Linked DNA regions of Oryzias latipes. The protein of the gene in region 1 interacts with the protein of each later gene in a pairwise test. Links are inferred from orthologs where the notes say so. Each region holds a gene or a part of one and is shown on either strand. Other genes may lie near its edges.

Region 1 (3,705 bases):
CACAAGGGTTAAGCGCCCTTTTTGGGGGGAGATTGATTTGCAGGGCAGCTTTTCGAAACCTCCAGTGTTCTTGCTGAGAGGCTGCAGACAACGTCCCACATTTTGGTTGAGTTTTGACGCGCCTCATTCGTCTGTCATCTTTTATTTGGACTTTTCACTGAGTGTTGAGAACAAAAGCTCAGAAGCAAACATTCAACTATCAGACCATCCAGCAGCAGCGCTCTGCAAACGAGCCGTTCCTTCATCAGGCTCAGGCAGGTCCCCAATACAAATGAGAGAAATATACTGTAGAACTGATGTTACTGTGTGAAACCCCCTGTTTTTTAATGATTGTGAGCTTTTTCCAGCATGTTTTTCACCATTCAGTTTATGCCCCCCCCTTCCATTCCTACACCCTCCCCATGTTCCTCCCTCCATCCTGTCATCCCCCCCTTGCTCCCTTCCTTGCCTCTTATAGATTACCCGGATGCAGACAGAGAACAGCGTGCTGCGGGGGTGCCAGCAGGCTGGGGGGGCAGCTGGCCATGGGTTAGGAGGGCCTGGTGGAGGAGGAGGAGGAGGAGGAGGAGGAGGACACTGGCCAGGGGGAGGAAATCAAGTAGACGGAGGAGGCTCAGCTGGACCAGGAATGGTCTCCCCATCGCTCTTTGTGCCCTCCTCAACCGCCTCTCACTCCCACCCCCACTGGAGGGAGCGCCAGGCTTTTTCAATGTACGTGCCCGGAGCCGTTCCTGGCCCCATAGCCCATGGCCCCCCAGCCCTGGACTCCCTGGCAGCTCGCCTGCAGCCCCTCAACACACCTAGCGTAAGTTAGAACCCCGCCCCCTCCGGAACTTTTTCCACTTCCCGGTTTTCTTCCCGATCGACCGCCGTCGGCCGAGGCGATGTGGGAAAATCCTTCCCCCCCCCCCCCCCCCGTTCCTCCTGCTCTGTCACTCCGTTACCGCTGCTTCCATTGAAAGGTCATGATGTGCACATCACCCAGTCTACTCTAGAAAAGGGATCCGGGCTTTTTAGCTGCATAAAGGGTGAAGTGCACAAACATGAGCAGAGATGGGGGGGGGCAGGGGGGGGGGGGGGACTGGACTTTTCTCTGCTCTCTTCCCTGCACCTTTTCCAGCCCTTTCATAACCTCTGACATGGCTCCCTGACTGCTGCTTCACCTGAACGTCTCCCACTCATCTAAGGAGCATGTCCTCATCTCTACTTCACTATTGAATCTCTAGCAAAAAGTCTGAAAATGATGGTTTTTGGTTAGGTTTCTGATCAGTATTTGGGTAGAGAAGCGACTCACTGGAGGCCACTGTGTTGCTAATCCAGTTTTCTACTGACCGTCTTCTGACACTTTCTTTCTGTCTTTGGTTTTGTCTGTTTTGGCCCGTCTCTCCTTTGCTCACTGCGGTGCGACCGTGCATCCTCTGGATGGAAGCATTCTGTCTGCCACTGCTTTGTTCACCACTTCATCTAAGGAGGTTGAGTTCATCTGCTCATCTCAGAGCTTGAAATCAACTCAAGTGATCTGGTTTTGTAGATGTTTGTAGTGAAATAATGGCCAGTATAGTTAGAGCTGGTTTGTTAGACGATCAGTGCCGCTCATGATGAGGTGATGTCAGAGCTGCTCTTATGATCCGGTGCTTCCTCATCCTGTTTCTTGCCGTCTTTGGTCCTTTCCTTAGTCCCAATTAGAATTCTGGCTTGTTAGTCACGTCTGTTCTATGTCAACATGTCAACTCTTCATGCGTGTGTTCCTTCATCTTCCCAGGTGAGAAAAGGTGGCACGGGGGGTGCAGTGACCTACGGAGGCCAGCCTCTGTCCGGCTCCACAGAGGTGGGCAGATACATGGTGAGTCTATAGCTGCGTTTATCTGTTGGAGCCATAGACCGTCTACTAGAACTGGATAGAAACAGGAAATAGTTTAGTCTCCATGTTTTGTGTGAAATGGAAGCTGCCATGTTGGGGCCACATTTTTGTTTTTAACCCCAAATATAATGTCACCAATTTTGCCGAAGTAAAAGCCAAATTTCATGAACACTTTACACAGACTAATCCACAAATCCACCATTTTTTGTTGATGAGAACTTGGATCATTTATTTTGTAGGCTGCACAATAAATCTCAAATTGATCGTTCTGGTGATGTCAAGCTGTGCTAAACGCATACCGCAAAAGTCGGAGAAAACTGCAATAAATGGTTACTTAAATGTGCCAAAACAATCTTATGGCAGCTTGAAGTATTTAATCCATTTATGCGTTTGACCAATGGGATGTTGTTGACCAATCACAGCTTTGATGTCAGACTGGGTAAATTGGAGTCTGATTTAAGTTATTTGGACTCGTATTTAAATTAAACTGTCGCAGTGAAATGGAAATGATGACTTTGGTTGTTTTAATATTTATTCATGTATCGCAAGTTAAATGGTCATCGCAATATTGATCACTAAAATGGCAAGTTTTTCTCATTTCGTGCAGCCCTAATCAATAACAAATGAATTGGAATACTTTTTTCAGATAAAAAATATTAAAATGCAATGCATTGTGGTCTATATTTACCAGTCTATCGAGCCTTGATGCACACTAGCTTCTCTGCAGAGACGTGGGAATTTTTTTAGGGGACTGGATTTTGGAATCGTAGATTGGGACAGTTACAAAATGACTGACGAGTGCACTATGCAGTGAGTAGTGAAGGAATGTGGGCACAACCATTGTGATTGGTCTGAGTCATCATTTCTACGGCAACCAGAAGTAAGCTTGTTGGAAGTCCACACCCCTTCCACTGAACGTGGGCTTAAGTGAACCAGAAACATAGAATCAGCGGGAATATGGAAAAAAAAGAAGGTATCAGATCAAGAAGGGTTATTCTGACTAATAGAATGACTGAGTAGCAGCTGTTTATTTCTCTATAGACGTTTTTAAGATCTTGTATTCTTGGAGACAGCAGGTACTTCCTGTTTAGAATGTGACGGGGGAGGGGTCACTGTTCTGAAGTCATCTCTTCTTGTTTATTGATGGCCGCCGGGCTTTTATTTTGTAAAACCGTCTGAAGCACAGCTGTTATACAACAAACCTGGCCAATAGGCAGCTTCCTGTTGGCAAAACACACCTGATGCAGGTAATCAGTAGGAGGATGCTGGAGTTCAACAACCCGCCCCAAAAAATAAGATAACACTATCAAGTTTCAGCTCAGCAATGAAGAAAATGGGGGCGGCTGTGGTGCAGTGGTAGGGCGGTCGAGACATGAGCGTAAGATTGTAGGTTCGATTCCCGCCTTGCACACCCATGCCTCGATGTGTCCTTGGGCAAGACACTGAACCCCACCTTGCCTCTGGTGGAAGGTTGGTGCCCAGTGTTCGGCAGCGGAGCCGCCACCAGTGTGTGAATGTGTGAGTGACTGTAAAGCGCTTTGGGCCTTGTAGGTAGAAAAGCTCTATACAAGTACACGCCATTTACCAAAATCTTCTTGGAAACCCATAGAAGTGGTGGGCGGATAAGCATGACTGTGCAGTTTCTTGTCCTGTAAAAGGATGAGTGAGAGGCACTAAAGGTCAGGTGTACGGCTCTTCCTGTGGATGATCTTCAGCCTCTGAGCTTCTCTGGATACTTGGGTTTGAACTGAAGGAAAACCCTGTTTCTGCTGGGATTGTGCATTAGGCTGGATGGCCTCTGATCTCTTCTAATGATTCTATTTGCAGGTGCCTAAACCAGAGAA
Region 2 (4,357 bases), on another chromosome or scaffold:
CTCCCCTTCCCTCTGACACACGCGGCTCCGTCTCCATGACGACAGCGCGCAGCTGCGGCTCAGAGTTGATTGTCAGATAGAAAAAGACCCCCAATCACCTGTTAGTGTGATTCAGCCAGCCACCGGCGAGCTGCGCTCCCCTCTCGAGTTTTTTGACTTATGTTCCAAAGACTACAAAGAGGTGTGGCCGCAATCGTCTTGCAGCAGAGGGCGGTGGTCACGTGCGCATCGGGTCTGCTGTGTCGGAGCAAAGAATTGTGGGAAATAATCTCCATTGCCTGCTTTTTTCGAAATTGGGTTGAGCACGGATGTTTGTTCTGCCTAATTCATTTTCATGTGCCGGTTTTACGTTGTTTCACTCTGAGGTATTCTTTTTTTTTTTTTTTTTTTTTTTTTTTTTGCACCATAAGTGTGAAGAGCAAATAGGAGGAAGACATTCTTTAGAGTCTGATGTGTCTAAATAAAAGCATTAAGTGTCGGCTGCTCAAGCAATTTCAAATTAAAAGCTCCAAGCTTCCTCTTTGAATTTAGTATGTAGCATATTATGTGTAACGCCTCAGGAACGGCAAATGCCGCCCCCTATGAAGTGCCGCCCTGGGCGACCGCCCACATCGACCATATCAAAAACCGCCACTGCACTGCAGTAAGATAAACAGTTTAAGTCCCACTCCAATAATCATTCGATCTATTTTCAGTGTTTCCAGTACCGGTAGTCTTTTAATTATAACTATGCCGCTTTTAGGCTAAATCAAAAAACCTTTGTCGTTTTCAGGGACATACATAGTTTCTGCAGCGTGGCAGTAGTTCATTAGAAATTCATCTCTGAGTTGTGGGCGGGACTGTTGGCGAGGACTAAGCCAATCCCTGCTTCCTATCATCAGTTTACAGCCCCTCACAGCCCCCAACCTAAAATTATGCAACAAAAATGGCTAGCAATATTGGAGCTATGCAGCCATACCGTTTTGATCCAGATGTCAGCTCTGGCAAAGAAAACAAAGATGTACAAGGATCTAGTCATCTACAAGCCAATCCATCATAATGGAAAATGCTGCTGGTTGTAGTAGCTTGTAGTAGCTTCTACGTCAGATCTGCAGGATATTTCAAATGGCATTTTTGCACATGCTACTGATTCACAACGATTTGAATAAAGAAATACTCAGAAATGCAATTTTAATCTTATTTTTTTTATGTGTCCTGCATCATCAGAAAAATGTCACAAGAATTAAAAAATACACCAAAAATCATTTATTTGAATTAAGCCGTCAATTCTATTCTATTCTATTCTATTCTATTCTATTCTATTCTATTCTACTGAAAACCAATTATTTTTAATTTGTACTAAAAGATACAGTTATCAGTCTGTCTTTAGTTGGTTGTTTTGTAGTTTTGAGTTGGCTCAGCCGTTCGCGCTTCGTCTTGTTTGACCCTGGCGATGTCTCTTACTGTACGTCACAGTCACATGATTGTCAGGAGGAATTTAAGGAAACAAACGTCAACAACAAAAAATACAATTTTTGGGCCATAGAACTTTACATTTTCTGATTTTTTTACGGTTTTCTAAAGATGGAGTCAACCCTCGAACAACACCTTGACGATACGTGAGTTCTAATCTATGCTAACTAGCTTGTTTCTTTACATTTCGTACATTCGTTTGGCTAATTCTCTTGATTTCGTGTTTTTTCTGCAGCATGAAAAATCCAGCTGTTGTTGGGGTTCTATGCACGGACCAACAAGGACACAACTTGGGCTGTAAGACTCTTCAGAGTTAACAGGAAGTCACATCACATGTATTTATTCACGAAGTACCCCGTAGTCGATATTCTCTAGTTCGTCAGTTTCGCTAATAAATAAATTCCCGCAACAGTTTAGTTTCCCCAAAAACACAAGTTTCCACCGCCAGCTGTTTATGAGAGATCATGTTGTTATTTCTGATGTTTTAGTCTTTAATCTCATTAGAGAAATGTTGCCAGTGAGTGAGAGAGGCAAAGATGTAACTCAGAAAGAAGACCCATAGTGTTTAGGTCAGTGCAGATCATGTGTAGACATCTGTCTCCTAAAGACATCCTTTGCTTACATAACGGGATGTGTTACTTTTTCCAAAGAGGCCCATATTTGCAGTGAATCTTAGAACTATTTGAAACACATTAAATTAAATATACTGCAATGGGATACTTTTCATGACATTTCATGATTACATGACAGTCTTCACATAGAAAACAGACATCTAACTACGTTTTTACCAAAATTACTGTCACATTTGTATATTTTTTGCACAGTTCATTCACAGTTAGCTTGTCGTATTAGCATGTCTTATCTGGTAGTTTCTCTTGATATTGAACTCCATGAAAACAGCCACAGTCTTCTGGCCCATTAGGCAGACACAGTTGTTTTATATTTCACTGAAAAAATGTTCAAATTTTCCATTTGTCCTTTAAGAGGTTGACCCTTAAAGAGCTAGAGAGTGTCACAAAAGGGTCGCACAACAGTGTTTCCACAGGTTTATAAAGTCTGATTTAGCCAACCACACAGCTTTTAGATATTGTTGCAGGACGCGTTCTGTTGATTTTATGTAGGAGCCTACGGGCCGGTGAAAATTTGAAAGGGGGCCGGATTTGGCCCACAAGCCGGACTTTGGACATGCCTGGCTCTCATGACTGATCGACTGTTTTCCGTGTTGAAGACCTGAGTCGGAATAATTTAAAAATGGGTCTTCAACTGAATAAGTAACAATTTCCTCTTGAGGCAAACTGATTTGATCTATTATATGATAGTAACAGTTCAGACCAGCAAACATAGCAAAGAATTCTGGCTCACTGTGGTGGTCTGATCTGCTGCTGGTTATTACACCTTTGCTGCCAGATGTTAAAGCTACATGTTAAATTATCACACTGTTGGTGCTCTGACATTGTAAAAACGTGAAATCAGATTTACTTTAAGAAAAAAGTTAAATTCTAAATAAAGACTGCAGTCCAAATGAACTGATCTGATGAGCAGAAGGATGCATCTAAAGCAGGTCATCATTTAAAGTCCCACTCTGATCATCTTTTGATCTATTTCAAAAGCATTCCTAGTCTTTTATTTATGATGAAGCTGTTTTTGACCCAAAAAAAATAGTCATTTTCCAGAACAAAGTTTCTGCAGAGCAGCACTAGTTTTTTTAAAAATTCACCTCTTGAGTTGTGAGCAGGACTGTCGGCGTGAAGTAAGCCCACTTGTCGTCACTCATCTGTTTACTGTTTACATGCTCTCCTGCTAGCTTTCAGCCCTTCAGACCCCAAGCCTAACATTAGCGGTACATCAAAAATAGCGAGCAGTATCAGAGCTATACAGTCCTAGAGTTTTTAACCCGATAACTGCTCGGATGAGAAAAACAAAGACGTCCATGGATCTAGTCTGGATTCTGCTGATTCACAACGATTTGAATAAACAAATCCTGAAAAATGCATTTTTGAATATGTTCTCCATCATCAGAAAAATGCCAAAAGAACATGTTTAAAACACAATTTTCATCAGAGCGGGTCTTTGACATATTTTTTTTTTAGGTCGTGGATCTCTGTCAGATGAACATGGAGGTGTGGTGTCTGTTCTGGCTAAACAAGCAGCTGCTCTCACCAGAGACCTGACGGACACACCGACTGTGTGCCTAGAGTCCGAGTCAGGGTGAGCCATGGACTGTGCCTTTGCACAACTTCTTCTATTTCTTAGTTTTAGTGCATTTAAGGTGTGCCTTTGTAGTTTTAAATGTGGAAGTGTACAAATAAGAGTTCCAAGACGCTGTGCAATCAGCTTCAACTTCTGTGCCACAGAGGTGCAGCAGAGATGAGCATCCTCTATACCTGCTGGTCACGTGGGAGACCATGCCTAATTATTTTTCTGAGTATTGGCTCCTCTATACTATTCATGACTTTTGGAACTTCCGGATGTTGGAATATAATAATTTCCCCACCTCCTCAATACTGTACATTTAAGTCATTTAATGGATGATTTAATTCAAAGTGGCTTAACAGTGAGATACAAAACAAACCATATTATCCAGGATTAAGTGGTTGTGAGGGTTAGACTCATGGATAATCATATAGGCAGACCTGGATTTGAGTATTTATTTTTTTGGACTATGCTGCCACCTTCTGGACTCTTTTAAACTATTGAATGTAGTGGAATTCCCACCTCTGAAATGGACTTTGTCATTTGGAATTAGAAATTTACCAAAAACACAAGTAAATAGAATTCAATCCTGTTGTCTAAGTAGCACAACACCAAAAAAAAAAAACTTCTAATGAAGCTGAACAACAAACAAACAAACAAACAAAAACAACAACTATATAGTTATGAAATTACCAACTCAATTTATACTCAA
Region 3 (4,453 bases), on another chromosome or scaffold:
GACCCCCACTGCAGTTTGGTTGACCCTCATCTCTCCTTCAAACCTACATGGTCCTCACAGACCTTTAGGAGACACTTCACACCAACACAGAGGGGTGGGAGGGGCTTTATTGGGATCACGTGGCACAGAAAAAAAACGGATTACGGAGCTCTTCTGGACAGCAGCATCTCTCTGATGTTGTCTTCAGCCTCCTTCACGCTGCGCTCCAAGTACACCTTCTTCTGCTGCAAGAGACCACAAACGGGCAGCAACAGTCAGAAACCCGCAAACATGCACTGCGAGCTGTGATGGAGCAGGCACTCGCACCTCAAGCTCCTTGATCTTCTCGTCCACGGTTTTCTGTTTGTCTGTCAGCAGGTTGTTGATCTTCTCCCTGGACTGAAGAATGAACCTGAAACAACAGTTTTCTGTCATCTATAGGATCGGCAGGGCAGATGAACCTAAAGGCAGCATTCAGACATTAACGTTTCTTTATACCATGGTCCGGGTGAATACTCGATTCTGATTGGCTGCTGGGTGTGCATTAAAGTGATAATCCACGGTGATAATGTACGCCTAAAAAAGAAGTTCCGGGCACATAGCTTAACTGTTCTGTATCACTGCACTGGCTTCTTTAAAACAAACTTCAGCCTCATCATCTGGACTAAAAGAGGTAAACTTTCTCTCTGAACTGATGCTTTATTTAACCCGTGGTGACGATCAGCATATATATTGCTTTCCTTTGCCGCAGCAGTCGAGGTCAGTGGGGCTAAGCAGCGCGTTATGTTACCGTGACACGTAACAAATAGTCGACTTTTTGTGAAGAGAAAAAAAAGAGATTGGAACCATAAAAATGTTAGAATGAAAGGCCTAAAAACTGGTTATATATTTATTTCTTTTGTAAGTAATCATGGTAGCAGCGGATTAACGGCTGTCAAAGTGGGCACAATCAGAAATTAATGCACTTTATGGAAGCAACTGCGGAGGACGGTTGCTTCCACAAAGTGCATTCATTCATTCATTTTCTTCCGTTTGTTCCCTTTCGGAGTCACGGGGCTGCCGGAGCCTATCCCGGCCACTTATGGGTGAAGGCAGAGGACACCCTGGACAGGTCGCCAGTCTGCCGCAGGGTCACAGTCACACACCCATTCACACTCACATTCACACCTATGGACAATTTAGAGTTGCCAATTAACCTATGGAGCATCTTTTTGGACGGTGGGAGGAAGCTGGAGACCCCGGAGAAAACCCATGCATGCACGAGGAGAACATGCAAACTCAATGCAGAAAGGTCCCCCATTGATGTTCTGTTTCAGGTCCCCCAGCCGGGACTTGAACCAGTGGCCTTCTTGCTCCGAGGCAAGAGTGCTATCAGCATTAACGCATAAAGTGCATTAATGCTGATAAAGCACACTTTGTTGGCCATTAACCCTTATGTAGCTCAGTGTTTGTGCAGATCAGTTGCTAAACGCACATCCTCTTCAAACTTGTGTATAAAAGTGTTGACTGGATGTGAAGTTCATAAAGTCAATCAGGTCAGACAGAATTCCTCTGTCTGGAACTCTCATGGAGCCTCAGTAGCATCAATGAGGCCAATCAAAACCTCTCCAAAAAGAAATTTATGTGAATCTGGTGGAGATCTCCTTAAAATAAATGTAAAGTTTTCAAAATAAGAGGCACATGGTTTCACAACTGCAGTAGAACCGTGTGACACTGAGATTTCCAAAGCAGAACCAGACATTTGATGGAAAAACCAGACTGGTTTCATGTTTTTCAGATGTGTCTAACTCATCTGTGTTCTTTGGTGAGTTGGCATTGATTACAGGAGAGCACACTTACATTCGGCCGACGCCCTCGTACAGGCGCGTGTTTTCCGGCAGCGAGGAGATCTCTGTGCTTGTGAGCTTGGCATGTTTCTGAACTCGAGTCAGCTGATCAATCTGGAGGTCGGCCAGCTTCACCTTCTGCTGTGTGTCAATCATCTTCAGCTGTAGCTCGGCGAATGCCTGCAGAGACAGGAAGTATCGCTCTGTTCAAAGTCGAAAAGGAAACCAGGAGAGAATCAGAGTTTCACTATTTCTCCCATCTCTTCCTTTTCTCTGGCTTGATTCAGGAAGTCAAACAGAAAAATGAAACACTGCCTCTCCTGTAAATCAGTTAACAAGCAAAGCGATCTGCTACATGAAGGTAGTCTATGAAGATATAAACCTGGACCATTTAAATGTTTGCATAAAGGAGGTAAAAAAAAAAAACGACATCTGACCTAAAATAATCCACGACACTGAAAGATGGAAAACTGGACTTTAACATTTACAAGCATGTTTGTCATAATCTGGTTTCCTCAAACCCCATCATCTTTTGTCTCAGTGTTAATACCGCAAAGGATTGTGGGATTGGAATATGGTCCACCCGATCAGAAAGGATGCTCGGCCGTTTCAAAGAGATGGGGGGGGGGGGGCAACCTCAAAACTCATTTTGCTCTAAGGGGTTCAAAGATTCGGTGCAGGTACACAATGGTCCGGTTCACATGTTTGTTACTAGTGAAGTGACCGGTCAGCCGAATTTCGTGAACCTTCCGCGTGCACCACTGAATGCGGTATGGGTCACACTAATAACTACCAGCGGTAGCTGCCTGTAACCCAATATCGGAGAGTATGCGCAACCACGTGCGTCAGACATATGATGTGTTCGGCGTCCTGTAAACTACACACCTTTTTTAGTTCCAGGTCCACGGGCGCCGCCATCTTTAGAGTAGATTTCGAGTGCGCATGCGCAAGATTGTCTTCTTCGGGCTTATTTTGTGGCAGCATCAAGTTTGCCCACAGCCCCTCCCAGTAACGATGATCTATTTAAACTCCCCGTGACCTTTTTTTTAAAAAAAATAAAAACGTTCCCAGTGGTGTTTTAGTTACAATTACGACGTTTTTTTTAACTAAAATTCCACAAGCCAAATGTCTTTAAAATGTCATGTTTATCTGAAGCGTGTTTCCAAGAACTCCTCTACATGGGCGTGGCTATTGGTGCTGATTAGCTCCGCCCTCGATTCCCCCTATCTGCAAGCTGCGTCTTGCCTGAGTGAAGACCGATAGACAGTCCCAGAAATTGTAAAAATTGTTGAATACACTTGCATAGCACTATTCACACGTCATTTTCCAAATACTTGTGGCCAGTGCAAAACTTAATTCTTGAACACCCGGACCCAGAGGAAAGGTTAAGTTTAGTGTTATGGTTACATTTAAGGTGCGTTCACACTGAACGAGATTCGTGGCAGAGGTGGCCAGTTAAGGCCCGTACACACCGGGACGAATTTCGCGCGCGATATTCGCCGATGTTTAACGCCTCATGACTAAACAAAGGGCACCAATGTGAGTGTGCACACCGACGTGAAAAAACGCCACGCTTCAAAGCGTCACTTTATAAAAAATGCCTCGGGTTCGTTTTTTTGGTTTGGCGCCACGCGGCAAAAACTATACGACTAATGAGAATGGGGCTTTTGGACACGTGTCTGGAGCTTCTGAAGTTACAGTAAAACACAACTTGGGGGCGCTCAAACACAAAACTGCCTTTCTGAGCACACATACCAGCGAAGAAGATAAGACGCCAAGTGGAATCTACACTGCCGCAAAGAAATAATGACGGACATTCTAAAATATCCCCGAAAACGCTCATGATACATTTTTAGCTCTCGTACCAGTCGATAAAACTCCCCATGTTCTTCTCTTCTCGTAACTATGGGATGTACCCAAAATCTGCGTCTTTTCCAGCGTCTTTCATCGTTTGCTGTGGTGTCATCGGTATAAAGGTATTGTACTGCAAATAATGATCCTGTGTTAATAAAACTTTGACTTGCTTTACGGCAGTTATCAGTCTTTACTCGGTGCAACACATCATTCAACAGAACAATAATTTCTTCATTGCTGGAACTGGAGCTACTGGTGCTGGAAATATTCATGTTTTCTTTGTTTGATTCTGACAAGCGCGTAAATACTTGCTCTCTTCTTCTGAGTGAAAAGCGACTTTAAGAAGCGTAAAGTTGCGCAGCGCCACCTTGTGTACAGGGGTATTTCTGTTTTACATTAAGCGCCATCTAAAGTCAGGGAATGAAATTGCATGTTCGCTTGGCTCATCGTCAGCGAAAATCGCCTGGGTGTGAACAAAAAAAACGTGGCGAAAAACGCTGGCGAATAATGCCTGGTGAATATTCGTCCCGGTGTGTACGGGCCTTTACAATGGCAATGGTTGAGTCAATGGCAGAGACACGATCTGGGGTCCTGCGGCGCGATTTGAGCGCAAAGGTCTGGCAGTAGCAATGTGCCAATTTTATTTTTTAGCAATGGGCTTTTTACTCTGATGGCAAACTGTAAAAACACATCAAGAGCTCACAATCATATACATGGAGTTCCAAAACACAGATTGTTCAAATTTGCGCATGCGTCTTGAAGTTTTTTTATTTAACAGGAATAAAATAGAACTT

What was found.
Region 2: the proteins of git1 (region 1) and lamtor5 interact in a two-hybrid assay, tested with the Homo sapiens proteins (2 studies listed by BioGRID and IntAct). The link is inferred for Oryzias latipes from reciprocal best matches to the Homo sapiens genes GIT1 and LAMTOR5.
Region 3: the proteins of git1 (region 1) and pfdn1 interact in binary tests that used the Homo sapiens proteins (3 or more experiments, as listed by UniProt). The link is inferred for Oryzias latipes from reciprocal best matches to the Homo sapiens genes GIT1 and PFDN1.

What each region holds. Positions count from the first base shown.
Region 1 is NC_019871.2:27,390,806-27,394,510, reverse strand, and holds part of git1 (ARF GTPase-activating protein GIT1), read left to right. Parts: intron 1-457; coding exon 458-805; intron 806-1,762; coding exon 1,763-1,843; intron 1,844-3,688; coding exon 3,689-3,705. UniProt on the Homo sapiens protein: GTPase-activating protein for ADP ribosylation factor family members, including ARF1.
Region 2 is NC_019865.2:10,897,258-10,901,614, reverse strand, and holds the start of lamtor5 (ragulator complex protein LAMTOR5), read left to right. Parts: upstream 1-1,424; 5' UTR 1,425-1,563; coding exon 1,564-1,598; intron 1,599-1,687; coding exon 1,688-1,749; intron 1,750-3,542; coding exon 3,543-3,660; intron 3,661-4,357. UniProt on the Homo sapiens protein: As part of the Ragulator complex it is involved in amino acid sensing and activation of mTORC1, a signaling complex promoting cell growth in response to growth factors, energy levels, and amino acids.
Region 3 is NC_019872.2:23,089,754-23,094,206, reverse strand, and holds pfdn1 (prefoldin subunit 1), read right to left. Parts: upstream 2,856-4,453; 5' UTR 2,790-2,855; coding exon 2,691-2,789; intron 1,986-2,690; coding exon 1,819-1,985; intron 392-1,818; coding exon 307-391; intron 225-306; coding exon 141-224; 3' UTR 88-140; downstream 1-87. UniProt on the Homo sapiens protein: Binds specifically to cytosolic chaperonin (c-CPN) and transfers target proteins to it. Binds to nascent polypeptide chain and promotes folding in an environment in which there are many competing pathways for nonnative proteins.